Linked DNA regions of Oryza sativa Japonica Group. The protein of the gene in region 1 interacts with the protein of each later gene in a pairwise test. Links are inferred from orthologs where the notes say so. Each region holds a gene or a part of one and is shown in the gene's direction. Other genes may lie near its edges. The genes, in order: ubiquitin domain-containing protein DSK2a, 26S proteasome regulatory subunit RPN13 and peroxisome biogenesis protein 2.

Region 1 (9,310 bases):
GCACATCCGGTGCGCGAACGGGTCCAAGTTCACCGTGCGGGCCGACCTCGACGCCACGGTGGGGGCGTTCAAGGAGGTGGTGGCGGGGAGCTGCGACGTGCCGGCGGCGCAGCAGCGCCTGATCTACAAGGGCCGGATCCTCAAGGACGAGCAAACCCTAGAAAGCTATGGTGAGTGTCTAGGACTGTTAGGTAGAGGAGGAGAAAAAAAACCCATCAAATCGTCAGGATTTTTGGTCCGATGGGTTGGAATTGACATGCTACGTGCTCGATTTCAGTCGTGTAGTTGTAAGAAGCCGCGATTTAGCTTTGTCGATGCAATGCCTGTTTATACCTGGGGCTCCTGTTCATGGGGGACAAGGTGCAGCAATCCGCTTCGGTGCCCTATGCATGCTAGCGAAACAGATTCGTCGATATGCTTTGCTTCTCTACACAGTTATTGGTGATTGGGTGATGCGAGTATAGAGTGTGTAGTGTATTAATGATAATGTATACTGCGAACGGAACGGTTACTCTTACGTAGCGTATAAGATGATGAAGAAGCTGAAGGCAGCTCATCTTGTCGCGACTCGAATATAGTTCCAAATGTTATGGACTTATGGGGCCATGTAAGCTACTGCTCGTATTAGTTACGCATACGTTGTTATTATGTCGCAATGTGTGACATCTTAGAATCTTCTTGGAGTTGTAGTGAAAGTTAATTTATTTTCTCATGAAGCATCATATGGGCTTTATTTTTATCTGTGAACTTTGGGTAGAGTGCACTTTATTATTGAATGTAGTTTATGAAGTGCAAATACAAGTAAATACTTCAATTTGTTGTTTGCAATGCAACTGAACAATTTTTCTTAAACACTATTTGGTTAAGTGCACAACCCTGCTATGGAAATGGGTTCACCAAATGTAAAATCATCCTTTTCTTTCCGTTGATTACAAAGTAGTGACCGAGAACAGTAAACCAAACAATTGTTCTGTTTAATGGAACTAAGCAGTGGGCTGTCTTTTGAAAAAAAAGGAAAACGTGAATCTGTTTCTCTAGTGCTACTGTTACAATAAATTAGTACGTTTGCTGATTCGCAGGAAGTGTATATATGTTTGGAACTCGTATTTATGTCAGCTCATGGTTTCATATTTATTTTCAGCGGGTAATGATGCTAACTAATTATTACATTGATTATGATTGTAGCTTCTTGCTATGCAAAAACTTCCATATGAGGAAAACGTTAGTTAGTTAATTGGCCAATCGTGCATGTGTATTTGAGGAAAAGAAGGGAACAACTTTCAAAAGACATGTTCTGAACATCCTTACATGGTGGAATGCTGCTAAATAAATGCGTTGAATCAATGATGCCTTAACAAAAAAGAAAAACATCTTCTGGGAAAATTGTTACCTTTTATGAGAGAGTACCAAGTAATTCTCATGTAATACGAAATATTGGGCACGCTAAGTATGTTAACATGCCATAAATGAGGATTTATGGCATAGTCATCCGATGCACTATCTTCTTTAGTCTCTCACATGTGAATTCTTTAGAAGTTTTCATTTGTAATTCTCTTGTATATGATTACATCAGATATTGGAATATTCTTTGTTTATGTAGATATGCTGGCCCGCTGTTCAAATTTCTGACTTATCAAGCATAATTCTTTTCTTGCTTCTCACACTCCTTATATTTTGTAGGTGTTGAAACAGATCATACCATTCATATGGTGCGTGGCGCTGGTCCCCCAGCCGGATCAGCTGCACCTGCTGCAGCCAGCCCCCAAGCTTCAGCTGCTCCTAGCAGCGGCCCAACAGATGGTCTTGGAAGTTTGTTTCCTGGCCTTGGTGGTACAGGAACTGCTGGTACCAGGCCATCTGGTCTTTTTGGGTCTGGATTTCCAGAATTGGATCAAATGCAGCAGCAGTTAAGCCAAAACCCCAACTTAATGAGGGAAATAATGAATATGCCAATGATGCAGAATCTCATGAATAACCCTGATTTAATTCGTAACATGATCATGAACAATCCTCAAATGCGTGATATCATCGACCGGAATCCAGATCTTGCTCATGTTCTCAATGATCCAAGTGTTCTCCGCCAGACCCTTGAAGCAGCCAGAAACCCTGAAATCATGAGGGAGATGATGCGGAACACAGACAGAGCAATGAGCAACATTGAGTCTTCTCCTGAAGGGTTTAATATGCTCCGACGCATGTATGAAACTGTCCAGGAGCCTTTCCTAAATGCGACAACAATGGGTGGAGAAGGCAACACAGCTCCAAACCCATTCTCAGCTCTTCTTGGAAATCAGGGTTCTAACCAACCAAGGGATCCTGCTACAAATGCTCCAAATACTGGCTCAGAGTCTACAACAGGAACCCCTGCTCCAAACACTAATCCACTTCCAAATCCTTGGAGCTCCAATGGTATGTTCTCAATCCTCTTGTTTATTCTGTTTTTGATAATCTATATATCTATTGTTTTTTCACACTTAAATTGACAGCTGGAGGTGCGCAAGGAGCAACACGGGCAGGTTCTACTGGCAATGCAAGAACCGGTGCCACTGGGGGCCTTGGAGGGTTGGGGTCAGCTGATCTGAGCAGTTTATTTGGTGGTCTTGCCGGTAATACAGGAACTGGTGCTACTGGTGGTCTAGGAGGGTTGGGTTCAGCAGATTTGGGAAGTTTGCTTGGTGGTTCTCCTGATTCTTCTTCCTTGAGCCAGATTTTGCAAAACCCTGTTATGATGCAGATGATGCAGAATATCATGTCTGATCCACAGTCCATGAACCAGGTACGGTATTTCTTAACTTATTTTGTTATATAACTTTGATGATGTTAGAGTCATAACTTCAGATCATTCTGTAATTTAAAATGTCCACAGTTGCTTAACTTCAACCCAAATACACGCAACCTCATGGAATCAAACACTCAGTTGAGGGAAATGTTCCAAAATCCAGAATTTATTCGCCAGCTTACATCCCCAGAAACTATGCAGGTAACATATGTTACGTTTTATGTATGTGGCTAGCTCCATCTCTATCTAGATTAACTTTCCCTTTTTTGGCAGCAATTACTCTCGTTCCAGCAGACATTATTATCACAGCTTGGTCAAAATCAACCTAGGCAGTGAGTAACTCTTGTTCAACAGTACCTGAATTGCATCTAGCTCATTTATACTGTATTTCTTTCATTATGTGTTTGTTAATTATCTTTTGATTTTCTTGATTCAGGGATGGTAGCCAAGGAGGCAATGCGACAGGTATTTTCTCTTGATTGTTTTTTTAATATGCACCATCTAATATCTTTTCTTGTTTTAAGATGGATTAGTATGTCAGGTTTTACATAAGTTTTAGTGCGTACTGAGTTATCTTTTAGTGGTGGTTCGTTCTAGCACCAATAGTTGCCTTTCTTTCACTGCTTGGTTGACCTGTATTAGTTCTTCAAGATTTCCGTTCTTCCATAAGGCCATTACATTATATAAACACATTATGATGATTATTACTAGTGGTTGATTCTTGACACTACCTTATTGTGGTGCATAACATTGGAATTTCTAAATTTGAGTTTCCTTGAAATATTGGAAAAAAAGAAATATCAATGATCGATATGGTGCGACCGTGCGACCAGGCCTCGTTTTGGGGATCGCAAAACAAGGTCTTTGGGGTGATGCGTGACACATGTATGATTTTTTTTCCTTACTTAGAAATGGAAATGGGTTGCCTATGACTGAATGCTGCTTGTGGATTTGATTATTGGAGAATGGATGAGAGCTCCCTACACCTTTAGTCACAACCATAGTTCCATTTAAGTAATCTGTTATGTGTTGAACGTGTCTGAGCTCTTTAGCTGCTTGACTGTGCTATATTGGTATGGAAGAGATTATACGAGTTGTTTGTGTAGTCAACTGTACTGCCTTCTAAATTGTGGAGCAATGTTAGATGTGTAGTGGTAATTCGAGTACTGAGCATTTGATAATTAAATTCTTACAAATGCATTTTTTTTCACCTTTTTGTTAAGTAATGTGGCAAATGCCAATGAAATAAAATGCAGGCATGCGGGGAAATGTTAGCCTCGACACCTTGATGGGCATGCTTAGTGGGCTTGGTGCTGGAGGTGGCATAGGTGTACCCAATACATCCAATGGTTTGTATAGTAACTCTTATCATCTTCCATGTTTTTGTATCATCACTAATTATGGTTTTACACTTGTGATTCAGTTCCACCGGAAGAACTGTATGCAACACAGCTCACTCAGCTCCGAGAGATGGGTTTCATCGACACTGCAGAGAACATCCAGGCGCTAGTCGCAACTGCTGGGAATGTGAATGCTGCGGTGGAGCGTCTTCTTGGCAATCTTGGCCAGTAGCTAAAGCGTACCAGACGCTGCCCATAACGTCACCAACTCCGCTCTTTTGCAAGAGGTTTTTTAGCCCCTCCAAGTTCAAACGCAGCGTCTGTCTACAGTCTCAGGAGAAAATAAAACAAAGAAATCCCACCCCCACCATTAACTTTTCCATACATGGTCGTCATGCCTTTGTTTTTACCGTGTTGTATTTGACTATTTGGGTTGATGTACATACATATGAAATTATCGGATCTTACCGCATAGAATATGGGTCTACCTTTGCAATTGTCGGCTCCCAATCCTCAAGATGTATGTTGATGCCTTCTTGTGTTTTGGGGTATCTTCATAAATCATAACGCAGCCTTGTTCTTCTAGGCATAAGGTAATTAAGGTAGCTGGCCTTGTTCTAGACAAGGCAGCTGCCATGCTAGTGCTGTGTCTTCTCTGTTGGTTGCTCTATCCATTTGACATTTGCACTGCTCTCGGGATTCTATTGGCAAATACATGATAGGTTACTGCACCATTTTTTTTCTTTTCTGGTTAAAGTTCAGAGGCTGTGCTCGATAATGGAGCAGTCAGATTTGACGTGGAAATGTTCATGAATTACTCTGAACGTTTGTGTATGATATTTGCAGAATTGCAGTTCAGTTCATTTCATCTAAAGAGATGTTTGTCCAGGTAACAATGTCAGCTGTGCTGTATGTTTCCATACTGAGTTTCGCATTTTTGTTTCCCGAAGAAGAAAAGCATTGCCCCTCGCATTGATAAACATGACAAAGTTACCAACCTTTTTATTCATGTAAAACATATTTACACAAGTACAGACACACTTATCAACCTGGTACTGCAGTACACAGTGTCTCCCAACTCCGAACTCTCCATCCCTCGCGTATCACCATGTCCGTTGCATGCGTGATGCGCGAGTCTAGCCAGAACTAGACAACGGGATACGACTCGACTCAAGCAGCAAGCCCTTTTTATTTATCAGCTGTGCTGTTTAGCTAAGCAGCTATGAGTACTAAGCATGGCGCACGTACACACGCTTAACCACACGTATAAACACGTCTCGTTGGGCATTTTTGGGCGCATGGATGGATGGATCAGGTGGTGGCCGCGGGAGCGGTGGTGGTGGTGGAGCCGCAGGAGGCGCAGGTGCAGGAGTCGCCGCAGGAGCAGCCGGCCCTCCGGTTCTCCCTCCCCGTCGGCTGCGACTCGCGGCCGCACCTGCACGGGTTGCACCCGCAGTGGTCGCCGCACGAGCACGTCGTGTGGTCGCCGCCGCCGCTCCTCGCCGAAGACGCGCACCTGCACCCACACGCGTGGACATACACTTGAATTGTTCAGTTGGTTTCACGGTCGCCAAGATGCCAAGGGCGACCAGATCGCCGTACCTGCAGCCCGTGCCGCCGGGGCACGGGACGGCGCACCCGCACTTGTCGTCGCACCCCATGGTCGTCGATCCGGCCGGCTCCAACGTACGAAAGATCTACTACCCTGTACAGTGGTAGAGTATTGCCGTTGCAGGGCACGTATAAAGAGCGGGCTTAAGCGGCGGCACACGTCCCGGAGTCATGTGAGGTGACACGCGTACCGTGGACCTGGCAATGCCCGAATGTTCTGGTACGTGGCCTACTCAGAGCATGCATCTGTAAACATACTGATAAATAAGGAGAGAGAGAGAGAGAGGAGCAGCGGACTATAGATTTGTAGCCAGCTGTAGCACGGACTCTAAGACACAGTGTGTGTATGATAAGTGGGACTAGATATTAATAGTGTAGTATATACCTATTATATGAATGAGCTATTGGATTGGCTATAATCGAATTGGAGCTAGTTGGCTATACTATTAAACTTGCTCTCATTTCCGTCGGTATTTATCTTCGCGAAATTGTGGCGTACCCGGACAATTCGGTGCAACTTCTGATCGTGATGGACTCTTAATCTACGTGAATAAATTTTGCGCAATTTATTAAGCTCGTCGTGGTTGAAACAGTAAAGGTTCAAGTAATTCAATTTGATTTAGGAAACAGGAGAAGAGTTAGAATTTTTATCAGAAGTAATTCAAGATGAACTTTTGTAACAAAATAAAGATACTTGGCCAAAATTAGCTCTAGCCCGACGTGCTTGATCAAATTCACCGAAATACACGTCAATCCATGTTCTGAAATCTGATCTTGTACACAATCCGCAGTTCAATATAAGCACCAAAACCTTGTCAGTTTACCGACCAGCTAATATAACCCGTCAAATGAAAATGACTACTTTATTTAGTAAAAAAGTAATTTTGGGCGAAAATTTATATATAATGCGAATTTGGATTTTAATGTAAGAATCTACAAGAGAATTTAATTTTATGAAAGTTGAAGTTGCCATACAAAACAATGTATCTAGTTGGTTTTACAAAAAGTAATTATGGCAAAAGATAACCGGGCAAAGACAATTTGGAGGAATCAAGCAACGTTGTTTTCTAATACAAGACATCATTCAATATTTTCTTTAATATCTCGCTCCCTGTCATACAAAATATTTTCTTTGATATTTTGCTTAAGGGTTTATATCCATAAATATAAAGAAGATTTTGTTTAAATACAGTATTATCGACGGTGGATATCCGTAGACCGGATATAAAGGGTATTGGGGTAGCAAAACAAAAGACAGGGATTATACTGGTTCAAACCCCTTGATAGGTAATAGCCCTAATCCAGTTGGTATGGGATTATATGATGGAAATCACAGATTACAAAGGGAATGATGGAACTCGATGATACCGACGAGACCGTAATCGAGTTGGTTCGACTAGATCACCCGGTGACTTGGCTCCTGTAGCCTCCGGCTTCATAGGATGTGGTGGATGTGTTGGCGGTGATATTCGATGCCTTAGGTCCTGCTCGGGGGTCCCTTTTATACCGCGGGTCAGTCGATCTCCCAGTAGAACTTGGAGATATCAGACCCCACACGATATGGTAACGACCCAGTTCTGTCCGAGTAGGACTCCTTCCATCGGTGGACTCCGTTTCTATTACGTGATAGATTGCCTTAACGTGTACAGAAAACATTCGTGTGCGCGCGGGTATACCATATCAGTATACAACGTATATCCATGGATAGAGGGTATACCTTATCCGTAATCTTGACAAGTATCTTATAGAGTATTGATCAATTTGACATCGTCATAATGTTAGACTTTCTAACATAGCAGACACACAACAACGTGCGGGGTTATATCATTTATAGATTTGATTTGGCCCAACAAAAAGTACCTTAGGTACCGGTACCTCACAGTACCATGAGGTACCGATATCTCGAGATAATTTTTGTTAGGCTGGAGTAAATCTCTATCATCTAACTTTAATCTATGGATCTATGGAACAAACCAGCTAGGCATGGTGGAACACTGTTCCTCGCTACCCTCCGGCGCCGAGTACACGCATTCCAGCTCGCCATGCCGCTTGCTGTAGCAGTACGCCTCCTTCCCGTCGTGCACGTAGTAAATCCGGCTACCGGAATCGCCGCCGGCGCCGCCGCCGCCGCCGCCAAAGGTGGCGTGGTGGTCGTCGAGGAACAGGTCGTAGTTGCCACCGACGTCGTCGCCGGCCACCTCGCGCCAGGCGAGCTTGCCCTCGCCGTCGCGATGATCCTGTCGTCCCAGCTCGAACACGTCGAAGCCCTCCGGCTCCGACGACGACTTGTTGACGCGCACCCTGACGACGAGCAGCTTGCTCGGCAGCGCGACAAGGTGGAGGTAGTCGAGCGACATGACGGTGTCGTCGCCATTGGCGGTGCCGAGCAGCTTGTTCGAGACGTTGCGCGTCCCCGGCGGCGCGTCGACGAGGTCGAGCACCTCGAGCGTGGCGGCGTCGATCACCGCCGTGGTGCCGCCCCTGTCCATGGCGAACACCTTCCCGTCCAGGTAGGCGAACTCGACCAAGTTGTAGACATGCTTGTCGTCGTCGATGGGGTTGTCCAGCTTCGTCCAGGCGGCGTCGCCGGGCCGGCAGAAGACCATGCCCGTGTCCCCAGAACCGGGTGGTACATCATGATCAGCATGCCGTCCGTGCTCGCCGCCGCCGGGACATGGACGGCGAAGCGGAGCAAGTGTGAGAATTGGAGGTCGGATTCGAGGAACATGGAATACCAGAGAAACTTGATCTTGATCCAGAACTGTTCGTCTCCGGTGCCGGCGTGCTCCGTGTCTGGCAGCCGGAAGCTCCGCTTCCACGCCGGGTTCATCCGAACCTCCCAGCGCCGCCGCATCGGCCGGTGCCAGTCGTCGCCGCGCGCCAGGTGGAACCTGCGCTTTACCCGGAAGTTTTTCCGGTGGCGCCTCGCCGTCGTCTTGGCCGGAGCGGGAGCGGGAGCGGGCGCGGGCGCGGGCGCGGCGGAGTGCTCGTACCCGAGGTGCACGACGCGGGACCCGGCGGTGGCGCGGACGGCGTTGAGCCTCGGCAGCGGCGCCGTCGCGCCGGTGGCGAGGTGGGAGAGGCGGCACGACGTGTCGCGGACGTCGACGACGACCGACCACCCGCGCGACAGCGGGAACACGAGCGCGTACTCGTCGCCGGCGCCGCGAGCGGCCGCGGCGGGGAGCAGGAGCCGCGGCGTCTCCGGTACGGCGGCGCGCCATGACCGGCAGACCGAGCGGGACAGGGCGCGGCCGGTGAGCGCGTCGCCGGCCTTGTCGGCGATGAGCTCCATGATCTCGCCGGGGAGATTCGTCCATGCGGACTCCATTGTCTCTTCGTCTTGGTCAGGTTACCGATCGATCGATCGATCGGTGGAAATCGCCGCGACGAGCAAGTTAAAATCGGTCAGATATATATCCGGATGAAAAACCGCGGGAAACAGGATAAGAGTTCAAGTTGATTTATGAAACAGAAGAAGAGTTGGATTTTTATTTTTTATTTTTTATTTGCGGGAAAGAGTTGGATTTTTATTAGAGTAATTTCAAATTGAAGTTATGCGACAGGATAAATTCGGTAA
Region 2 (10,752 bases), on another chromosome or scaffold:
ACCTAAGTAATTGAAAAAGTTTCATACTCATTTGAATTGGGTATATACTCAATTTCAACAATGGTGCCCGGACACCATGGAGCACCAAACAAATTTACTATATATATATATATATATAATCTTTATTCTTTTATTTATATATGTATGTAAGAAAAGAAGAAGATATATATATATATGCAATGGTCAAAGAGAGCGGGAGAGACAGGGGATGGAGGTGATGCATGCGTACATATCCATTCGTTGTGATCGATCCTACTCGATCAAAGACATGCGATTCTGATTGTGACTGTGATTGGGATTTGGAGGTAGCTGTTATCCACACGCATTCGGATGCACATATATATATGACTCGATCGTGTGTCCAGATAATAAACAAGATAAGCTACTGCATGTACTGCTACTACCCTATGTTAATTGTACGAGTATTACGTATGGACGGTGCCAGGGGCACACATCTTCATTCATGATTTCATTATATGGATGATATGCATGCATGTTGCTTACTGGAATACTTATATATACATCCGGACACGTAGGTCTTTATATACACATCATCTTCATTTAATTAATTAGTTAATTGATTGATTTGATTTCATATATAATCATATACAGTATGGGGTAACTTGTCTTTCGTCGTATATTAATTCCTAGATAGCTACGTAGCTCGATCGATCAGCGGCTGGTCGGCGCCTCTCGAAATCAACAACAACGTATAGGTAGGAGTAACTAAATACTACTCTCTGTCCCAAAATATTTGGCGCCGTTAACTATTTTTTAAAAATATTTGACTGTTTGTCTTATTAAAAAATTTAAGTAATTATTAATTCTTTTTATATTATTTGATTTATTGTTAAATATACTTTTATGTATACAAATAGTTTTACACATTTCATAAAAGTTTTTAATAATACGAACAGTCAAACATATTTAAAAAAAGTCAACGTTAAACATTTTGGGAAGGAGGGAGTAGTATATAACTAATTATCTCTGTTTTGTTTCCTTATAATTAGCTGTTGGTGCATGATCAATCGCCCGATCGGAGGGTGAATCCGATCGAGCTAGTTTGGTCTACAGCGCGCGGCTGGATGCATCATATCGATCATATATATCGGCATATATACGTACACACACTCCGACCCAATTAAAGAAGCAGAGCAAGGGAAAGCGTAAGGCATAGTTAGTTTTCCGAGCAAAAATCATTCAGCAGCCATACAGCTTTTCCGGTTAAAGAAGCAGAGCAAGTGTAAGGTAGTAGATACAAAGCACATATGAGCTTGACATGCATGATTCTTTGATCATCACGTACTAGTATAATGTAACGTAACGTCGTATGATTGATCCGCTAGCTAAGCTAGCTGGTCGTTATTGCGAACCACAAGTATATACTACGTATATAATCTGTCATATATATGCAGTCGTAGCTAGCATATATTAACGGTTTTTCTTACAAAAAAGATAGCATATATTAATCTGTCATACTCATAACCATGTCAAGTGGCGAAGAAATTAAAACAGATATTAAGTAATTGAAAGCAAAGCGGCCGCAATTAACGCAACAGAACAGAAGAGGGCCCCGCGACCGCGAACGATCGAGAGTAGAATGTCCAGGTGTGTGGAGCCTAGCCTAGCACAAGGCGTACACACGAACAGGCCGGAGAGGATGGATGGAATCCAAGCCAAACAAAAAAAAAAAACATTCCTTCCGTCCGTTGGCCGTTGCAAACAGGTGCTCCGTAGTTGTAGAAGCAGACGAGACACGGCAGGCAGGCAGCAAGCTGGTAGAGCCAGAGCCCAGCCAGCTGCCCTGCCAGTGCCCGGGGAGGTTAGGCTTTGTTGTTTGGACAGAGTGGCCGTGCGATATGATGATATGATCGATGCAGAGAAGAAAAGAAAAACTGCCTAAACTTGGCATTGGCATTATTAGTTCGTTGTTTATGGTTGGAAGAGCGAGAGGCAAATCCAAGAAAAGCAAATGGCAAAAGATGAGCTAGGATATAAGAAGCCCATTAGCACTATTGGATTGGATCGGATCGGCGGGCGGCCTCGTCCTCGTCGGGACGACGGCAGACAATGGCCGCCGCCGCGATGATCCTCCCATTACTATTGCTATTGTGTTGGTTTCTGCTGCTGTCTGTGGGCGACGCGATGTGTTGGTTCAACGACGACGCATCAGCATCGGCACCAGCGGGGTGGTTGGTGTCGTGGACCAATGGGATGGGTTGGTACAAGGGGATGCCGCGGGAGTTCGTGGACGGCCACAACCAGCTGCGCGCGCGCTACGGGCTGCAGCCGATGAGGTGGGATAACAAGCTGGCGAGGCAGGCGCGGCGGTGGTCCGACGCCATGCGCGGCGACTGCCAGATCCGCCACTCCACCGGCAACAGCTTCGCCGAGAGCCTCTACATCGGGAGGAACGGCTGGAACGCCAGGGCTTCCGACGCCGTCCGATGCTGGGGCGACGAGGAGCACCTCTACGACAGGGACACCGGCAAATGCACCGCCGGCGTCGACTTCCACGAGTGCGGCCACTTCGCCTTCATGGTCAGGCCCAACTTCACCAGGATCGGCTGCGCCCGCGCCGAGTGCTTCAACGGCGGCGTCTTCATCACCTGCAACTACTTCAAAGACGAGCAGCACCAGCCGGCTACCCCTCCCACCTACTCCTAATATGCTCTTCTTCTCTTCAACAACTGACCTGCCTGCCTTCCTCATTCATGTACATTGATACAGCTGCACAAACAATACAATACAATGGAAACCAAATCTTCACTCACTGAGTCACTGTGTCTGTGTTCGTGTTCAACAAACATGCATCACCCATCCACCACCACATAAAACCATAACATTCTTCTTCATGCTCGCTCATCCGCTTGCTGGACTTCCTCGCGTACGTTAAAGAAGTTCACTCATCGGCAACACTAGCACCCACTTCTTCACAACTTCTGGGACAACACTACATTTAGGTTTAGCTTACTACTAGTAGTAGTACATCATTCATTCGTTTCCATTAGTGGATCACGGGCTTCAGCGGGTGCGCTCTCAGATTCGATAGATCCAGCCTCGCATCCAGTTCTTCATCCACCTCCCCCACCACGCTGCTGTAAATATGCATCACCCACGGATTCAACTTCAGTTAGGCACACCACCAAACAAAATAACACATCCATAAACGACCTCCATGCAGGTAATTAATAAGCAATAAACAGCTCAAACGACAATTGAGGAAATAGCTTACATGTTGTCGCCCCTTATGATGTACAACCCAAGAACAAGCTGTTGCACTCCCTCCTGCAGGTACAACACATTTCTCTCATCACTACTCAAAATTTCAACTGTACTACTAACAGCACATGCCACAAACTAAAAGCATGACAATTTAAAGGCATTGGCCCCTAGTCCTTAAGAAGGCATATCCCATATTCAATAGAGAGGTGCATGATACGAGACATATAACTATTCATAGTCAACATTGCCTGCAAATTGTTAGAACAACAACTCTGCACCATAAAGAACAAAGACATTCCAATACCTAACTATTGAAGACAAAAAATAATATGACTTCTGAAAAATTGAACGTGCACAAGGTAGAATTAATCGAACCAATCCTTGAAGAAAAAGGTGCTGTTATGACAAATTCAGCTAAAACATGTTACAGTATAAACTCATTATTTTGCAGGAAACGAACTTCAGTTCATACTGACAGTAGACATGATGATAGATACGAACAGTCAACAATATGAACTCATTACTTCATGATGACATTTATAACCATCATGAAAGAGAGCCATCTTTGAAAACAATCTGTGTTTAGCCATAAAGGGTACTGTGTAATACATGTTGGCAACTAACTTTCAAGCACCATGAGAGAAACTTATTGCTGATTGCAGAATTCTGCACTAGTGAACCAATGAGAGCATTTGACAGCAAACCAGGGAGAAGGTCACAATTAACAAGGACATACTGGAATAACAAAAAAAAATTGTGTGGCTGAACTTGTAGCCTTAGCAAACAGGCAACTCTATGGAAAATGCCAAACAGACTGTGGTAGAGATTCTAAACGCAGAAAAATTTAGCAGAGTAACTAACTGTAAGTATGACCGCCTTGTAAACATAACTTTATGAAGATGGAAGTAAAGTGTGTGTTGCCGGATTATCAGGGCATATAGTACTAGCTTAGTGAAATATTGATATTGCTGTAAAATTAATTGAAGGTTTGCAAGATAGCATGAAAGAAGCGTAGAAAGAGTTGGGAGCAACCCTACCCTGGTAGAATAGACCCTCTCATGGGACTCATCGAGGATGATGTTGGTGGCTTGATCGAATCCTCTGAGTGTCCCCTGACGAAGCGGAGGCAGGGCAATTCGAGTGAGTATTAGCGAGAGCCAAAAAAAACAAAAAAGGTGTACGAGTAGATCAAACAAGGGGCTCACCACAATGTTGCGGCCATCGTTTGTGATGACGGATATGATCTCTGGAGAGAAAAAAAAAACATCATCTATCACTAGTAATAGTAGGAGGAGGAGAATCTTGGGTAGCTGGGTGAGATGAGATAAAAAAAAAAGAGGGATGAACTCACGGTCGACGAGCGATTCGAGCCCCGGGCCGGCGGACGCCATCCTGTAGTTCAGGTGGAGTGGGGTGATTGGGGAAGCCGCCGCCGCCGCCAAGGGGATCGCCGGAGTTGAGGGGATGCGGCGACGATTTGTGTTTTGGAGAGAAGAAAGAGATTGAAAACCCTAGCTCAACTTCGTCTTTGGAGTTGCCGAGCGGGCTTTTATATGGGCCATCAAATGCGTGGGCGGGCCTCTCCAGCCCAGCTAAGAGAAGCCCAGCCCACCATGAGAGATCCTTCTCTGCTCCCCCTCCCGTCGTCATCGCCTCCCCAAATCACATCACATCGCGTCGGAGAATCCCTCTCCTCCCGTCCCGCCGCCGCCGCCGACGACGACGACGACGTCCAGCCCTCCTCCGTAATCCCCCACTTGTTGGTGAGTGACTGAGTGGTGACCAACTCTTGCTCCATTGTTTCTAAGATATTTTCTTCTCCCTTGCCCTACCTGTTCCTCTCTCCAATCCAAATCTCTCTTTCTAGGACGGCTGCTCCAATCGATTTTATTGCTCATGTTTTTCTTGGGTCCTTACCAGCAAAATCTTATAGATCACCCACCTATTTTGCTCTCCTTGCTTACATCTACATGTAAGAAAAAAAAATAAACAAACATAAAACACTGCACCATCCTGTAAGGAACTAGCCCCTGCAAACAAGCTAATCATTGACGAGTTTTATGTTAATGCGACTTGCTAGCTGCTAGGGTTTTTGGCTAGTCTTCGCCGTTTTTTGGGTCACGTTGGTTCTCCACTATGAAATAACACTACAGCAGCACAAAAGTAATGCAGTAATAATATCTTATAAAGCCCAAAGAAACCACCTTACAAATTACAAATCTACAAGCACGCAGACGCAGGAATTTCTTTATGTAAATACTAATTTGTCAGTTGCCTACGTGCTACTTGAAGATGCAAATACTGCACAACAAAGACTCTAGTGTACATAAATTTATAGATCTAGTCTTCTTTAATCCTTCACAAGTGCATTTTTCTGTATTTTACCAACACATGCGCATAATGTTTTCATTCTCATATGCACAAAGTTCTAAAGGCAGCTACTACTTTCAGACTACAGTACCTTTTGTTCATCTCAATTGGCATGCAGTACACTTCTGACAACTAGTTACTGATAACCTATTATACTTCACACTTGCTTGATTTTGTTCTATGTCCAATACTTTACTGTCCTTTTTACTGCCTGTTTTAGGGCCTGCACCTTGTGGTAGCCACTCTTTAATCAATGGAGAGCACAGAGCCCCTACAGGTAAACTCCTCACTTTGCCTTCTAGTGTTTCTGCAAGTATTGGTTTTTTCAAATACCGAATTTCCTGTTAGTGTTTAACTGCGATGATCGGTTGCTGTTGATTTGAGATCATGATTTAGCTGCTGCAAGTTCCATCTAAAATGACATTATGGGCTGTTTGGTTGGTATCAACACTTTGCCAAAAGGATAATTGAGGTTGTCTTTTGTGGTGGACAAATTCTCAACTATTCGCAAATCTTGCCAAGTAATTGAGTGTATGACAAGTGAGCCAGCTGGTTAAAGAAAGCCTGACAGAAAATGGCATTGGTAGTACCATGTTAATGGGCTGTTTTGTGTGTAATATGTACAAAGGCCTGAACCATGTTTGGACCAGTTTTTCATCGTACATGATACAAAAAAAGAAAAAAAAACATAGATGTCTCTTTTGTATACTAGGCAGTTTGTTTCTTTATGTTTTAGTTCTTTTCAGAAAACTGGGATAGAACTTCTGTTAATCTTTGCCTGCACTCTAAAAGGCCAAAATATTTAGCTAGCAATTTGTAGCAAGAAAATCTTCTGATAAGAAATGTAGGTTGTGTATAGTGAGCTTTCAGTAGTTCAGTGAACTGAGTTAATTTTCTGTTGCAGTGCATGGTGCTTATTGATCTATCTCAAATTAAGATCTTGTGCTTATTCAGAATCTTAATGACCTATATATTTATTTTTGCCATCTCATTTATCTCTGCTATGATATAACAAGGTGTTGAGCTTCTATTTAAAAACAATCTCTCATGTGTTTGTCAGGATATCATGTGCGAGTTTCGTGCGGGTAAGATGTCCCTTGATGGAACACGAGTGATCCCAGACACACGCAAGGGTCTTGTTCGCATAGGAAGGGTATGCATGCTAAAAGTCATACTTATCTTGAATTGAAGTTCTGTACTTCTATTTGTCCAGTATAACTTATAAGCCATTTGCATTCTCATATTTTATGGGGATTTGCAGTGCAGTTAACATATCCACTTGTTTGTAGGGTGAAGAAGGCTTGGTTCATTTTCAATGGCTTGATCGTGGACAGAATCTAGTTGAAGTTGTATCCTCTCGAGCATAGATAGTAGTTAGTAGTCATCGTGCACTCATTTTTTAATCTGCAAATACTGTACTTGTATGACTCGTATGTTTGAACTTTGAACTTGGCTGTGTCTGTTTCTCCTGATTTCCATTGTGTATATCCTAGGAAATTATCGTACTTTTGTATATCCTTGATTCCCTTTTCACAGGATCAAATTGTCTTCCCTGAGGAGGCTGTCTTTGAGAAGGTATTGAATATAGGTTCAAGTTTATTTTCTTCTGCAAGACCATCTTAGTGAACCTCTTGGGCTTCATTGATGATTGTAATTCAACTTAATCAGGTAACACAATCTTCTGGAAGGGTTTACATCTTGAAGTTCAGGCACGATAGCAGGAAATTCTTCTTCTGGATGCAGGTCAGTTGAGTGTGTGTGTGTGTATCTGTTTGAAAACCACAGAAGTCCTTCCACCAGCTAAAATTTACTTGTGTTTTGCTCTTTACTGTGCAGGAGCCAAGTGCTGATGACGACTCACAAATATGTCGCCAAGTTAATGCCTACATAAACCGACCATTAGGTATGCTGAACGTTGGGATCTCAACTCTTAATTATGCGCTCATTTTTCTTGTGTCTTAAGTTGTATGGGCGTGCAGATGGTGAGGCAGTTTCTATTGAAGCTGAAATGTCACATGAAGACACAGCTGATGATGACATCTCCTCCAGGTAATTTTAACGAACTGCAAGATGCAATGTGCAGCACAGAAAAACCTAGACGTTTGCATTGCAATCTTTATTTTTCAATGGGGCCGTCAGAGTAACAGATGGATGCACGTTCATTATAAACCACAAGTATATTCACTCCAATTTCATGCATAAGTTAACACTATCTATGTCTAGCTGAGTTTATTGTGCACTGCCTTTCATTCTTCCTATTTTCACACTGATATTTTTCCTGCTAAATATATATGAAAGTGTGGCCTCAATTTGTTCCTGATATGGCATTCATGCATGCGTGTTGAGTTTTGGGTATAATGAATTAATGACCATTTAATAATTCTAACCCCTTTGTTTCCTTCTTTCTTCTCATCAGAGCTGGGAATTTAGTTGATCAGAGCATGACTGCTGATTTAGCTGGTGAGGTGACATCTGCTGCTGGGCCAGTACGGTTGGAAGACCTGCAGAGAATACTGAGTGCTATACAGCCATCAGGTATCAGCTGAAAAATCATGTCACTTTTGAAATGTTCTTCCATTTGACCACCTTCTCATTTTATTTTACTTGCATTCGCCTTGTAATTTCAGATGCTGTGGCAGACCCTGATGCTGGTAATTACAGTACAATACTCTATTGATTCACTTTTCTTCAATGATTTGCTGTATGTATCAGTACTTTTAACCGCTGTAACAGGATTAGGATTAGGAGACATCTTGAAGCCTGATTTGGTGTTACCACTCATGGAAACTTTGCCCATTGAACAGTTGGCATCATATCTTCCAGAGGTTTGTAACTTTGTATTTGTCATCCTGGTTCTTACTTCAATTGACTCTTCCACTCATTTTATTGTGCTTGCTTAATTCCAGGGCCCATGGACTGCTGGTGATATTCTTGAACTATTGCAAAGTCCTCCTTTGCGGCAGCAAGTAGAAGCGTTTACCCATGTTAGTAATTCATCTTTCTATTGAACATCTTGGTGAATCGTGACACAATGCTTCAAATGTTATTTTTATTCTGATATTTGCATGTATGGCAGGTGCTGCGGACTGGGCAAATAGATCTAGCACAATTTGGAGTTGACCCTAGTAAATGTAATCCTTCTCATCTTCACTTATATTGACAACCAAATTTCTCGTTTATTTGCACTGAACAGTAAAGTTAAATGCAGCATGTAGCAGGCTCCTTTTTTTTTTCATTCGCAAATACACGGTAGATAATTTGTGCATGTGGCTGAAACTTTTATTTATGTATTGAAAAAACACAAATTCTGCAACTGATACCTCAATGACCATGATATTTACCTTGCTAGTCTAGCTTTTACTTTCAATGGCTTATGGAGGTGACCCCTGCCCAAAATATGAGCGTTGTTTTTCTGCTAGACGACAAACATCCTTGATGCTAGTTGGTCAAGTCTGAAAATGATTTATTTAGTATTTGTAAAATCTGGAGATGGAGTGAGATGTTTTCGGAAAACTTATTTGATGGGTGTCTTTGTGGCACAGATAAATTCACAGTAGCTTCGTTCCTGGAGGCTCTTGAAGACTCCGTGGCAAAAGCTTCAGGAGCTGGAGACAAGGATTCAGAGTCCCAGAGAGGCGGTGGAAATGATCCCATGGATGAGAGTTAATGTCAAAATGGTTTGGTTTGAAAACTTGATGAAACACAAAGCGGGACTGGACTTATGTTGGCACGCACAGGCCTATTTCTAGTCATTTGATCTGATTATAGATGCTTGATAGGTGGCATAGACATTTTGAAGCTGGCTTTATTCTGCACTGCCTGTGCTGTTATGTGTATACAGGGAGGATACGGTGGTCTAGCCTATTTTGCACTGGTGTATGCTCAGTAGAGTATTAAAGGTACTGGACCATTGTTAAGTGTACTTGGGCGTCGTCGTCATATAATGGATGGATGGATCGGCTGATCGATCAGCTGGGTTGGGCGTACGTCTGCGCACTGCTCCTCCCAGTTCAAGTACAGATGATCGATCTCATTCTTCTCTGCTCTGCATGTATGATGGTAGAATCCTGAGCAAGATGCTCGCGGAAGTTGGCGATTCCCAAACAGCTTTGCCTCTTGCTGCTTCTTTTTCGTCGTCCAAAGCATCGTTGGTAGCATCTGTACTGATGAAGAAGATGCTCGCCCTCGTCATCGTTGACGGGAAAAGCTTCGATCCTGTCGTTGTCGTTGTTGGACGCCGTTGTTCATGTGTTTCGGCCCACATTAGTACTCATAAGATTTGGGGCAAAAGTATTTACTAATATTCATGCATTTTCGTGCCAAGGTAAGTATTTATGAAATTTAGGACCGAAAGCTAAAATTCCTTCATTCCTTTTTTATCCAAGGATAATACTCATGCAATGTTAAGCCTAAGGACAATACTCATGTGCTTTGGGGCAAAGGCTAAAATTCATTCAATTTTGGTCAGAAGTTAGTACTCCTGAAATCTTGAATCAAAATCTAATATTCATGTGTTTCGGGCCAAAAGAGAGAATTTATGCACTGTTGGTGCCAAGATTTAAAAAACGAGATTTAGAGAGACGTTTCTCCAATTACCTTTTAAGAAAATAATATGAGCATGTTACCTGTTGAGGTTGAAACCACATACCCTTGCCAGTCAAGTGTATCTTGGTGCCAAGGTTAATAATGGAGAATTTTTTTGGATTACACGGAAGATACATGCACTACTACACATGCACACACACTCACAAATTTGCCCCTAATAGATTCTCAAAGAGACGAAGACCATGGCAAATCACTAGCTTCATGAAACCCCATAAAAATTGCATCCGTGTGTGTGCATAATGTTCATAGCCACTAGAATTTGAATTCCATTGCATTTTCGGAAGAAGGCTAGTATTCATGTGTTTTCAAACCCCCCAAGTTTAATACTCAAAAAAAAAATTAGGCCGGAGGCTAAAATTCACACAATTTTTTGGGCCCAGGGTTAATTATCATGAAAATTTTGGGTAGGAGGCTAATATTCATGTGTTTTTTCCTCAATGTTACCACTCATGAAATTTTTGGCTAAAAGCTAAACGCCGTTCATTTTCTAGCCGAAATGCAAATATTCAAGCGTTTTGGGCTCAAGTTATTCATGAAAATTTGAAGCAAAGG
Region 3 (10,933 bases), on another chromosome or scaffold:
AAATGTCTGCTATCAACTATACTTCCAGCTCATGCACTAAACAATCTTCCATAGCAATACCAAAATGATGAGCGGGAGCATATCCATATTTAATTTCAAAAGGTGTCTTGTGTACAGCTGAATGGAAGGAATTATTGTACCAAAATTCAGCTAAGTACAATACAACTAAGTTGATCACTTAGAAGGTGCTGAATGGATAAAGCATCTCAAGAAAATCTCTAGGCGTTGATTTACTCTCTCAGTTTGGCCATCTGATTGGGGATGATAAGCAAAACTCATGTGGAGTTTAGTGCGTGATTTTGCAAACAAATACTCCCATGGTTGACTAGTGAATCCTATCAGTTATAATCACCCTAGGCATACCATGTAATTTGTACATATTTTTCATGAATACTGAGGCTACCCCAAAGCAGTAAAAGGATGGGTGAGAGGCAGGAAATGTGCATATTTAGAAAATTTGTCCACTACCACTAATATGCAGTTATATCTCTTAGAAGTGGGAAACCTTCAATAAAATCCATATAGATTACCTGCCAGGCCCCTTCGGGAACATGAAGTGGTTGAAATAATCCATGGTATTTTCACTCTCTCTGGTTCAGCCTGGATACAGATTTGACACTGTTTGAGTTGTGCTTGAACTTGTTTCTTCATTCCTAGCCAGGCAAATAAAAGCTTCACCCTTCTATATGTTACAGGGAAGCCAGAAAGTCCTCCTATATATGGATTGTTATGCAGCTCAGTAATCAACTTCCGCTATAATTGTTTGTTGTCTCCCACCCACACTCTGCCCTTGTATCTAGGAGGCCATTCTGCAGAGTGAAGTGTTGTCTTACTGTGGAGTCAATAGCTAACTCAGACAACAGTTGGGAAGAATAGAGATCTTGTTCATAACTAGTCATAACTTCTTGCAACCACATGAGCGTGCAAGAAGAAATTGCCATAAATTCTACCGACTCCTCTTGATCCTTTCTTTTTTTTGATAGGTCTTGATCCTTTCTTGATAAAGCATCAGCGGCTGAATTGGTAGTGTCCTTCCTGTAAAACAAAATTGTAACTCAAACCCAATATTTAGTAAATGTTATTTCCTGCTAAGGTGTGTGAAGCCTCTTATCTGATAAATGGATCAAGCTATGATGATCAGTCAATATGGTAAACTCTTGATGCTGAAAATAAGGTCTCCATTGCTCTACTATTAGGAGGACTACCATGCACTCCTTTTCATAGGTAGACAATACCCGATTTCTGGGACCCATGGCCTTAGTCAAGAAAGCTATAGGATGCTTATCTTAGGAAAGAACAACACCAATACCTACATCACTAGAATTAGTCTCCACAATGAATTATTTAGAGAAATCAGGAAGAGCAAGCATAGGGGCAAATATTAGAGATTGTTGCAGGCGATGGAGAGCGACTGGAGCGCGGTGAGGTGGTCAAGCCTACCTGGCATGCACACTGGTGGAGAAAATGTCTTTACTCCCGGTTTGTAACCCCGTGTAATCCCGGTTTTCCAACCGGGACTACGAATCCGGGACTAAAGACCGCTATCTTTAGTCCGGGTGAAATAACCGGGAGTAAAGTTGGATCTTTAGAGAGGGAACTTTAGTCCCGGTTGGTAACACCAACCGGGACTAAAGAGAGGGTAGGGGTAGTCCCGGTTGGTCCATTTTCTTTTTATTTTCTCCCAAATCGAGTGCCATGTATATACCTAAATCAAACACCAAATCCCTAAATCAAGTGCCATGCATATACCCAAATCAAAATAACATCCCAAATCATTCACATCACAAATCTTTAAAAAATTACATACAAATCAAATACATCACAGATCGATTATACATCTTAGATCTATGCAATGAATCACAAATTCTAAAAAAATGAATTATACATCTCTCAATCACACATTATCAAAAAAAAAGCCGGAGAGAACCGGCGCGCTGCCGCCTGCTGCCCCGTGTGTGGCCCGGCCGCCGCGCGCTGCCCCTCCGCCCGCTGGCCGCCTGCCCGCCGACGCTGGCCACCGGATGTGAGGAGGAGAGGGGAGGAGGAGGAAGGGGAGGAGGGGGGAGGAGGAGAGGGGAGGGGAGAAGGAGGAAGGAGATCTGAGGGGTAGGAGGAGAGGGGATGATGCAATCTTATCTAAATATCTCGGTGAGGAGGAAGTCTTGTCTGGGACTTAACCGATTAGATATGGGAGAGAAATATTTACTCCTGGTTGGAGTATCCAACCGGGACTAAAGATAGATTTTTAGTCCCGATTGGTATTATCAACCGGGATTAAAGATCTAAATAATCTTTACTCCCGGTTGGTAACACCAACCGGGACTAAAGTGGGTTGGTAGTATCAACTGGAACTAAAGATCTTTGGCACCCTGATATGCCTCTGGCAGGCCATGAACTGGGACAAAAAATGATCTTTACTAAAGATCAAAATTTTTATAACCGGGACTAAAAACAATCTTTAGTCCCGGTTCTAATAAGAACCGGGACTATTGTGGAAAACAGTCGACCCAGCAAAGACCACTTTTCCAGTAGTGGCGGTTGGAGAGCCCGAACCTATCAAGTGCGAATCGGAACATGCGTGACGTGGTCAGGTCACACTCGACATGCTCCCATCCGCACGGCGTCACGTCGGACTACATCCACATGGCCAACACGCCCATTGGGTCAAACAACATCGGCTTGAACATGATTGAACATCGGCTTGACAGCGTCACGTCGGACTACATCCACATGGCCATCACGAGCTATTCAGGGCGTCCCTATCACCTGCCCCTCGAGCATGACCCCTGTGGGCTATCCTTGGGGCACACTAGCCCCCGAGTACGGCTGCTCAGGGCATATCAACCCCCGGGATGCGGCTCCCCGTGGGCAGAGCTCGGGGCACATTCGCCCCCGGGGGCGATGCTCGGGGTACGTTTGTCACCTGCCCCCATGTACATGGGGTAACACAGTAACAAATCAACCCAGTCAAGCTTAGTATTTAATGCGAGGTAACTATACCCACCCAACTTGCAACCGGAACAACACACGACAAGACAACACATGCCAACCTTACGATAAGCCTTCATTACCCTTATGTGGAAAGGGGTGGGCTACTAGGCGGCACTGTTGACTGCCATATGCCGCACGTCTAGCCTATAAATCGTCCAACACTCTCTTCTGACAGCTGGCACATGTCCTGATGATTAGGTCTACCACCAAGAAGCAATATGACCAGAGACACCTAACCCCGTACCGGGGCCCATTTGTAAGAAACAGGCCACTGTGATATCCCCTTGCAACTATAAAAGGAGGACCAAGGTCACTGAAAATGGGAGAGATGACTCTGGGTTAGAGCCGATCCTAGAATGTCTCCATCATCACACAGCATCCATACAAAGAGGAATGAGCTCCCTAGCCTTAGAGGAGAAGTAGACCAACACCTTGTAAACTTTCCAACAAGGAGCTCCACCAAGAACACACGAGTAAGGTATTATGCCTCCAAGTGGCCCGAATCTGTCCAGAAAACACATGCCTCTCTCGTTTCTATTGGCGTGAGCATCACCTTGTTTCCACGCACGCACTCCCTGGTCGAATCTCCAAAGGGGGAGTACTTGCTTCCCCACTAGAGGAGTTCCATACTCCGACAATGACCAGCCCTAGCACCTCCTCGTTCACCAACATCGGCATGGTAGTGTCGGTCGTGGAGGCGACGATGAGCACGAACAATAGTAACATGATAGGCATCACCATTTTAGTTGCCGCGCGAGTGCCGAGGCGACGATGGCGATAGGAGTGCAAGGAGGAAAAGAGAGAGGAGAGTGACACGTGGGTTCCACCTGTTTGATTTAACGAGTCAACCGCAGTCAACCTGCCACGTCAGTACAAACTGCTAAACTATCGAAAGAGTCGATTTGCATCCAGTTTTCAAAAACGGGGATGTGTTATACTTGATTTTACAGTTGAGAGAATTATTCTACGAGGAGTCAAAGGAGCAAGAGATGAGGAAAACAAAATAGACGTTTTCCAATATTTATTTTAGGAAAAAGTATACCGAAGGTCCCTCAACTTGTCATCGAATTATAAAATCGCCCTTAAACCACAAAACCGGATACAACACGTCCCCCAACTTATAAAACCAGTATAGACTAGGTCCCTCAGCGATTTTGACTCCGGTTTTGTCCGACGTGGCAGCTGACTCAGCGTGGGACCCACGTGGGTCCCATATGTCAGCCCCTTCTTCCCCTCCCCTCTCTTCCTCTCTCATCCCTAAACCGGCGGGGGACGAGCGGCAGCGGCGGTGATCGCGGCGGTCGTTGCGGCCTTGGGAGAGAGGAAGAAGTGGAGTCCGAAGGCGGCGGGGTCAGCGGACGGCAGCAGCGGCCGGCGCCCCTCCCGGACGTAGAGCTCCATGGCGGCAGCGACCAGGTCGGCCACGCGCCACTCGGCGCGCGCCATCACGTGCAGCGGCCACATGCTCGGCGAGCAGGTCAGGCTGCGTCCGCGGCCGCTGCTTCAACAACGAGTGTCGTTGCTCCGCCGCGCCGCGCCCGTGGAACGACGCCGACCGCTGCCGCGGCTTAGCCACCGCCGCCGCTGTCATCGCCGCCGCCGCCGCCGCCGCGTGCCGCTGCCTGCAGGGCTCGTCCTTGTGCTCCACCGGCGCCACGAGGGGAGGCATGGTCGATCAATCAAACCAGAAGCAAACAACGAGGAAGCAGAGGATGAATCGGAACGCCGGAGTGAACTGCGATTCATGGGCGCGGCGTGGCGGAGGTCCATTGTCGTCGGTCGGATCGCCGGAGATGGGCGCGGCCGGCAAGTGCCGGGGGAGGAGCTGGACGCGGCGGTTGTCGTCGTCGTCGAATCTGGGGAGGTGGACGGAGGAGGCAGTGCGGCAAGCCGACCGTGACGTCGGCGTCATCGTCGGCGATCCGCTCTCGCCGCCGGGGCCGGTAGACCGGAGAGGAGACGGCTGCGACGGCGGGGATGGGGGCGCCGACGGAGGCGGAGGCGGATGGGGAAGCGCGGCTCGACGAGGGAGAGGGCGCGGGCGTAGGCGAGGAGCGCGTCCCGCAGCGAGGTCGTCGTCGGCCGCGGCCGCCTCCCGCTCCGAGTAGGCGGAGGCGATGTGGAGGCGGAGCGGGTGGCCTCGTCGCCCGTCGCCGCGGCCACCTCGTCGCCTGTTGTCGCTGCCGCCGACGCCGCCTTGTCGCCGCCACCGGCCGCCGGACTCCCGCCTGCCGAACTGGGGAAATTTAACTATTTGCCACTCTTGTGACATGGCAATTAACGATTTGCCACATCCTGTCAATGACATGTGGGCCCTCATGTGTCTATGACATGTGGGCCTAGTGGCAAATCGTTAAGCAACATCCGTAAGAGTGGCAAATAGTTAAAAGCCCCGCCGAACTGGAGCGAAGGGAGAGAAAGAAAAGAAGAGGAGAGAGAGGAAGAGGGGAGGGGAAGAAGGGGCTGACATGTGGGACCTACGTGGGTCCCACGCTGAGTCAGCTGCCACGTCAGATAAAACCGGAGTCAAAACAACCGAGGGACCTAGTCGATACTGGTTTTGTAAGTTGGGGGACACGTTTTACGCGGTTTCGTGGTTTAAGGATGATTTTGTGATTCGATGACAAGTTGAGGGACCTTCGATGTACTTTTTCCTTTATTTTACTATCTTCTTGGTAAGGCCCATAAGGGCCCATGTCAAGTACTAGTATCAACCGAATCCCCAATCGCACGCACTTTCCTCGATCGTCCGCGCGACACGCACCGCTGGTCCGCTGCCCGCTGCTCGTCCCATCCACCCCCGCCTCTCCCACCGCCGGCGACGCGCCGTCCGCCCCTCTCGACCTCTCCCTCCTCCGCGCCGGCCGTCGCGTGCCCCCCCTTAACTACCAGGTGGGGCGGATCGGCCCGCCACGCTCATCGGCTTCCTTCCCCGGAGGCGGGGATTTCTCGCGTCTGCTGTCGCTTCTCATGCTCGAGCTCGCATCACGCGTCCACCCGTGAGCTCCGCCCCCTATAATGACGGATCCCGAAACCCTACCCTCTCCCTCCGCCTCCACTGACTCGTCGTCGCCACCACCGGATGCATGGGCCGCCGAGTACCGGAGACTCCTCCCTCAGTGGGAGTCAATGCGTGATTCATCCAAGGTACCGATATGTCTAACTCACCTCTGTTCTTGGGATTATTTTTTTTTACTGTACAAACTTTGCTATCGGGTACTTTTTCTTGTTTACGAAATATAGGGTTCTAAAGGCCCGCTTTGCTGCATTCAAGCATATCGGAATACACATATTCGATTGTAGTAGTATTCTTTGAAGGTCTGAGGTTTCTTAGCTACATCCAGATTTTTTAAAAAGAAAATGGTTGCCTAGTGGGGAGTCACTAGTCTCTGTTTTCCCAATTAATTGATTCAAAAAAAATTAGTTGTGGTCTTAAATAAAGAGCGGATTTTTGATCTGTTTGCTACAACTGGCAGGAAAAGGTTCACTATATTGTTGGGGTAGTAATGCATTGTTGAATTTCTTGTGTGATACAGATCGCTATCCCAATTTCAATATCTAGAGTTAACCAATTTGATGCTGCGAGGCTTGATGTCGAGATGTCCGCCATGTTGAAAGAGCAGTTAGTCAAAGTATTCTCTTTGGTGAAGGTACTTCCTTTACTAATCATGGTGATATGGGTATTTCTTATTGCTTGCGCATCAGCTTATTACCTTCAGTTTGACATATGTTCCAGCCAGGACTCCTGTTCCAATATGAGCCAGAATTAGATGCTTTCCTTGAGTTCCTCATATGGAGATTCTCAATATGGGTTGATAAGCCAACTCCTGGGAATGCGCTCATGAACCTGAGATATAGAGATGAACGGGCAGCGCCCATAACAGGAAAAGAAGGTATTTGCTACTTTATTGTGTCTCAATTGTTAGCAGATCTGTATAATGTATATGGTACGTACTTTATGGCATTATCTTTAGTTGCTATGCTGGTTATAGCTCCCCAAAGCATACGAAATGTTTGGATCTTTCTAAAGTGTGTACCAGGCGACCAGGATATTTACACTTTGATCGTGTATCATCCTTGCATTACAATACCCTTATTTACTTTGGTTGAATCACGTGTTATGGTGAAATTGCACTGGTTTCAGATCGCTTTGGTGTGAGTTTGTCTTCAGCTAGTTCAGGAAATTATGATTTTATTACTATCTATAGGGAATAGAATCAAACCAATGATTGCACCTACAGAATGCTGATCACAATTTATATGGATGTGCCATACCTAATTACTGTCTCCTTTCCAATTAGCTGTTTATTGACAAATAAGACATGGTGTCCAGAAATACATGCTATTCTACACATTTTTAAGTATCATTGCACTAATTTATTCAAAGGAAAAAGGGCTTATTTATGTGGTATGTTCTTAAATCTCCTGAAAAGAGCATGTGGCCAAGAAACTTTAGGTTCAAAACCTTCAAGTAAGAATTTCCCTAACATGAATATTATAAGTGAGTAAAATATGTTGTTAAAAATCCTCAAGTTCTGGGTTACTAGATTGCATATATCTTCTAGGAAATTAATTTTTGAACCAACATGTTTATGATTACTTGATAAGGGCACCGTGGGTTTTCTCATGTTATTATCCACTAGCTCAGGAGATGCACAATATACAACCTGACTACAATTCTGTCACAAGTGATCCGGTGGTTGCATGTACAATATTTAATGAAAATACAAGATGCATCATCCTAATTACTAGTTTTATAAGAAACAAATTGAGCCAATTAAATATTCAAATATGAGTAAAATACATTGCTGGTACAACAACTTGTGAACTGGGTGCAGATTAGTCACTCATCTTGCAAAATGCTCAAAAGAGTCACATAACTTGATTAGGGTACGCAAATATGCACCCTAACACATGATATGTGGCTTATTACACCGACCTTGTTGCCAGAGTGGTCCCTTAAGGGACAACTGGGGGCAGCATAGAATCCATGAATGCATATATGTCACCATTTTCAGTTGCCTGAGCCTAAAGCTTTGCAGTTTACTCCTCCTAGGCTATTAAGTTGGGCATGGCAATCCTATAGGAGGACATTACATTGATCTGAAACATGTATGTATTCTGTCCACACGTTGTTCCTTAGGCCAACCTGGTCTGTATTTCACTGTCATTAGCCCCACATGACATGCATCGGACTGTATTTCCACTCTCCTTTCAAGTTGCCTGACTCATTTGAGCATTTTGCAAGATGAGTTGCAAGCCTACACCCACCTAGCAAGAATCCTTGCTGCATTTTACTCTAAATGTAAGCTAGGTTGGAATTTTTTATTTTCATAATGCAAGCTAAATTATTTTTGTTGTAGAAAAAGGAAAATAAATATGGTTAATGCATGTGTCAACTTCTTGAAGGTTCAAAATGGTCCAAACGCTTAACTATTTTTCAAGCTGGCTTGTTTGGTTGAGATGTGCCTAATATGACTAGGTTTCCCCATTTTGTGGCCTGTGCATCCATCCCATTAGGGCCTGCAGTAGCAGCATCCTTAAACAGGGTTTGTTATTAGGATTTAGGAAATCTATCTATTTTGTTGTCTGGTATCTTCTAGTTAGGCAAGCTATTTTTTGGAGTAAATTATCTATAATTTTCAGGTCTTAGGGAGTCCTCTATGTAAGAAGCCTATTGTAATTGTTTCCATTTAGCAGTATATATAAATCAAATAGTCCTGTCTACCCTCCATGTTTTTGTTGCAACTGCTCGGCCAATTGGCTCTTGTGGATTGGGCTGTGTTGTCTTCTTGATTATTTGGTTAGTGTGGGGTTACATAGGTCTTGGCCCATTATCAGGTCCAAAACTTTTTTATTTTTTGTTACTCGTTACATTCTTTGGCTTTATGGAATGCTACTGATATGCTAATGACTTATTGTTTGTAATATTATCCTAGCAAGTGTTGATGAATTCCATGTGTTTTTCAGTCAGAACAGGTTTGGAAGGACCTGGACTTTCAGTTTCTCAAAAGGTTTTGTATTGTATTAGCACTGTTGGTGGCCAATATATATGGTCCCGCTTGCAGTCTTTTTCTGCTTTCCGTCGATGGGGTGATTCTGAACAGGTGATCTTCAGAACTTATTCGAAAAATTTAATTCCTTTTTTTATTCTTATAACTTTCTTTCATAATTTAGAGACCACTAGCACGTCGCGCTTGGGGCTTGGTGCAGCATGCTGAAGGCTTATACAGAGCTTCTTCATTCTTTAACCTTTTGTTATTTCTTTATGGTGCAAGGTACTGTTCATCAACTTGTTTATTTATGTTCATTTATTTATTCTGAGGAGACAGTGAAAATGGTAATTACTCGTAGACTCACAGCAAATGGTGCCCAGTTTGGCATTACTGATTGGTCTATCTGAATAGACTTAAAAGTGTCGGCATCCACAATTAATGAATTACAGTGACAGTATAGTTTACTTGAGTGAGCTAGGTTAGCATGTTTTTTTAAGAAAACAAGAGTTCAGACTTGCTTATGTATTTATGCAGATATAAAACTATTGTTGAAAGGATTCTGAAAGCAAGACTTGTTTATGAGAGCCCCAACATGAATAGGGCAGTAAGCTTTGAGTACATGAACCGGCAACTGGTTTGGAATGAATTTTCGGTATGCCTCTCTTGATACATTCTTGTTTAATAATTTAAATTTCAATCTTATGCAGTGATGTATTTGACATCCTGTACATGATTCCGTCCTCCTTTTCACATTGAGTACATACAGAATGAAACCTTAAGTCTAGCCTCTTGTATTTCTGTAAGCTTGGCAGTTTTACTGTTGTAATATTACCGAAAATAAATTTCTTTCAGGAATAAGTGTTAATAGCACATCATAACCATTATTAATATTATTATTAATATTATGATACATGTTTATGTAGATTAAGGTTTTTTTATACACTAGCGTGGTGCGAACGTGTTACAAAGTTACAGTGGATATAAATTTAAGATTCAAATAAAATTTTTAAAAAACTTTCCTCAAATATAAAAAATATTTAGATGACCACAAAGCAAACTCAACTCATGATGGAAAGAAAAAGGCTCTTATGTGAACCTGAATAGGAATAGCGAACAAAGGCTACCACTGAACAAAACCTTGAGACATATAGGAAGATGGGAACTAGGATGTGTGGAACAGAGCAGAAGGGACTGGTTAGGAAGGACAGAGGTGCACATCTGCAAAGAATGCCATTAAAAGAAAAGAAAATCTTGCGAGGAATACATACATGTCCACATATAGGCAGCCATGAGGATTTAAAACACATAATCACCCCCAACTCACTAATTTATTTTTTTTCAGAAAAAGAACTCACTAATTTACAAGAGTAAATATTTTCGGACTTTACTTTCTCCCCATCTACCATTTCTCTACATGGGAGTAGTGGCGGGTGGAAATTGTGGAATAAAATTTTTAAAACATCCTTTTTGTAACTATAGATTGCATGTTATTTCTGCTCCACTGAGATACGTATTCTTCACTAGTTATAGTTACGCCAGAATATAATAGACCTGTCACTCTGAATATTTAGTTCTACGTTTTCTCAGTCCTATGATATTTCACATTGAAAATACTTGTTCATGTTATAAAAAGGGTAGTGTAGTGCTAAAAGTTGGTTTGTACCAATCTGGAGATATCATTTATAAAAAGGGTAGAGTAGTGCTAAAAGTTCTCTCTATCTATTAAATCATACTGCGATGTATGCATTGTATTTATTGGGGTGATCAAACAAAGAGTTGGTAATAATTATTTCTTGATCTTTGCGGTAGTGATAGTTGCGCCTTATTTATCGGATGGAGGGAGTATTTATTTAAATTGAAAAATTGAATTTAGCAACATGTGGTCAGTACGACTGCTGACCTAGTGATGGCTGGATACCTCAACCAGGTCAGTGGCCGAGAGGAAT

Evidence for each region.
Region 2: the proteins of ubiquitin domain-containing protein DSK2a (region 1) and 26S proteasome regulatory subunit RPN13 interact in binary tests that used the Arabidopsis thaliana proteins (3 or more experiments, as listed by UniProt). The link is inferred for Oryza sativa Japonica Group from reciprocal best matches to the Arabidopsis thaliana genes DSK2 and RPN13.
Region 3: the proteins of ubiquitin domain-containing protein DSK2a (region 1) and peroxisome biogenesis protein 2 interact in binary tests that used the Arabidopsis thaliana proteins (3 or more experiments, as listed by UniProt). The link is inferred for Oryza sativa Japonica Group from reciprocal best matches to the Arabidopsis thaliana genes DSK2 and TED3.

The regions. Positions count from the first base shown.
Region 1 is NC_089044.1:21,857,276-21,866,585, reverse strand, and holds the end of ubiquitin domain-containing protein DSK2a, read left to right. Parts: coding exon 1-170; intron 171-1,680; coding exon 1,681-2,409; intron 2,410-2,486; coding exon 2,487-2,776; intron 2,777-2,866; coding exon 2,867-2,980; intron 2,981-3,052; coding exon 3,053-3,111; intron 3,112-3,215; coding exon 3,216-3,244; intron 3,245-4,035; coding exon 4,036-4,128; intron 4,129-4,202; coding exon 4,203-4,351; 3' UTR 4,352-4,853; downstream 4,854-9,310. Other genes in the region: class II metallothionein-like protein 1A, read right to left, coding at 5,431-5,635, 5,722-5,780. UniProt on the Arabidopsis thaliana protein: Binds and presumably selects ubiquitin-conjugates for destruction. Prefers multiubiquitin chains rather than single ubiquitins, with a binding affinity for 'Lys-48'-linked ubiquitin chains.
Region 2 is NC_089039.1:29,803,635-29,814,386, reverse strand, and holds 26S proteasome regulatory subunit RPN13, read left to right. Parts: upstream 1-4,884; 5' UTR 4,885-4,988; intron 4,989-5,815; 5' UTR 5,816-5,848; coding exon 5,849-5,872; intron 5,873-6,655; coding exon 6,656-6,748; intron 6,749-6,884; coding exon 6,885-6,944; intron 6,945-7,131; coding exon 7,132-7,170; intron 7,171-7,263; coding exon 7,264-7,338; intron 7,339-7,431; coding exon 7,432-7,498; intron 7,499-7,574; coding exon 7,575-7,644; intron 7,645-8,011; coding exon 8,012-8,130; intron 8,131-8,222; coding exon 8,223-8,246; intron 8,247-8,328; coding exon 8,329-8,420; intron 8,421-8,501; coding exon 8,502-8,579; intron 8,580-8,671; coding exon 8,672-8,726; intron 8,727-9,137; coding exon 9,138-9,262; 3' UTR 9,263-9,614; downstream 9,615-10,752. Other genes in the region: pathogenesis-related protein 1, read left to right, coding at 2,071-2,667; sm-like protein LSM8, read right to left, coding at 3,008-3,098, 3,236-3,288, 4,263-4,337, 4,431-4,471, 4,577-4,616.
Region 3 is NC_089039.1:11,357,532-11,368,464, reverse strand, and holds the start of peroxisome biogenesis protein 2, read left to right. Parts: upstream 1-5,725; 5' UTR 5,726-6,009; coding exon 6,010-6,138; intron 6,139-6,527; coding exon 6,528-6,641; intron 6,642-6,727; coding exon 6,728-6,884; intron 6,885-8,961; coding exon 8,962-9,098; intron 9,099-9,168; coding exon 9,169-9,269; intron 9,270-9,521; coding exon 9,522-9,639; intron 9,640-10,933. UniProt on the Arabidopsis thaliana protein: E3 ubiquitin-protein ligase component of a retrotranslocation channel required for peroxisome organization by mediating export of the PEX5 receptor from peroxisomes to the cytosol, thereby promoting PEX5 recycling.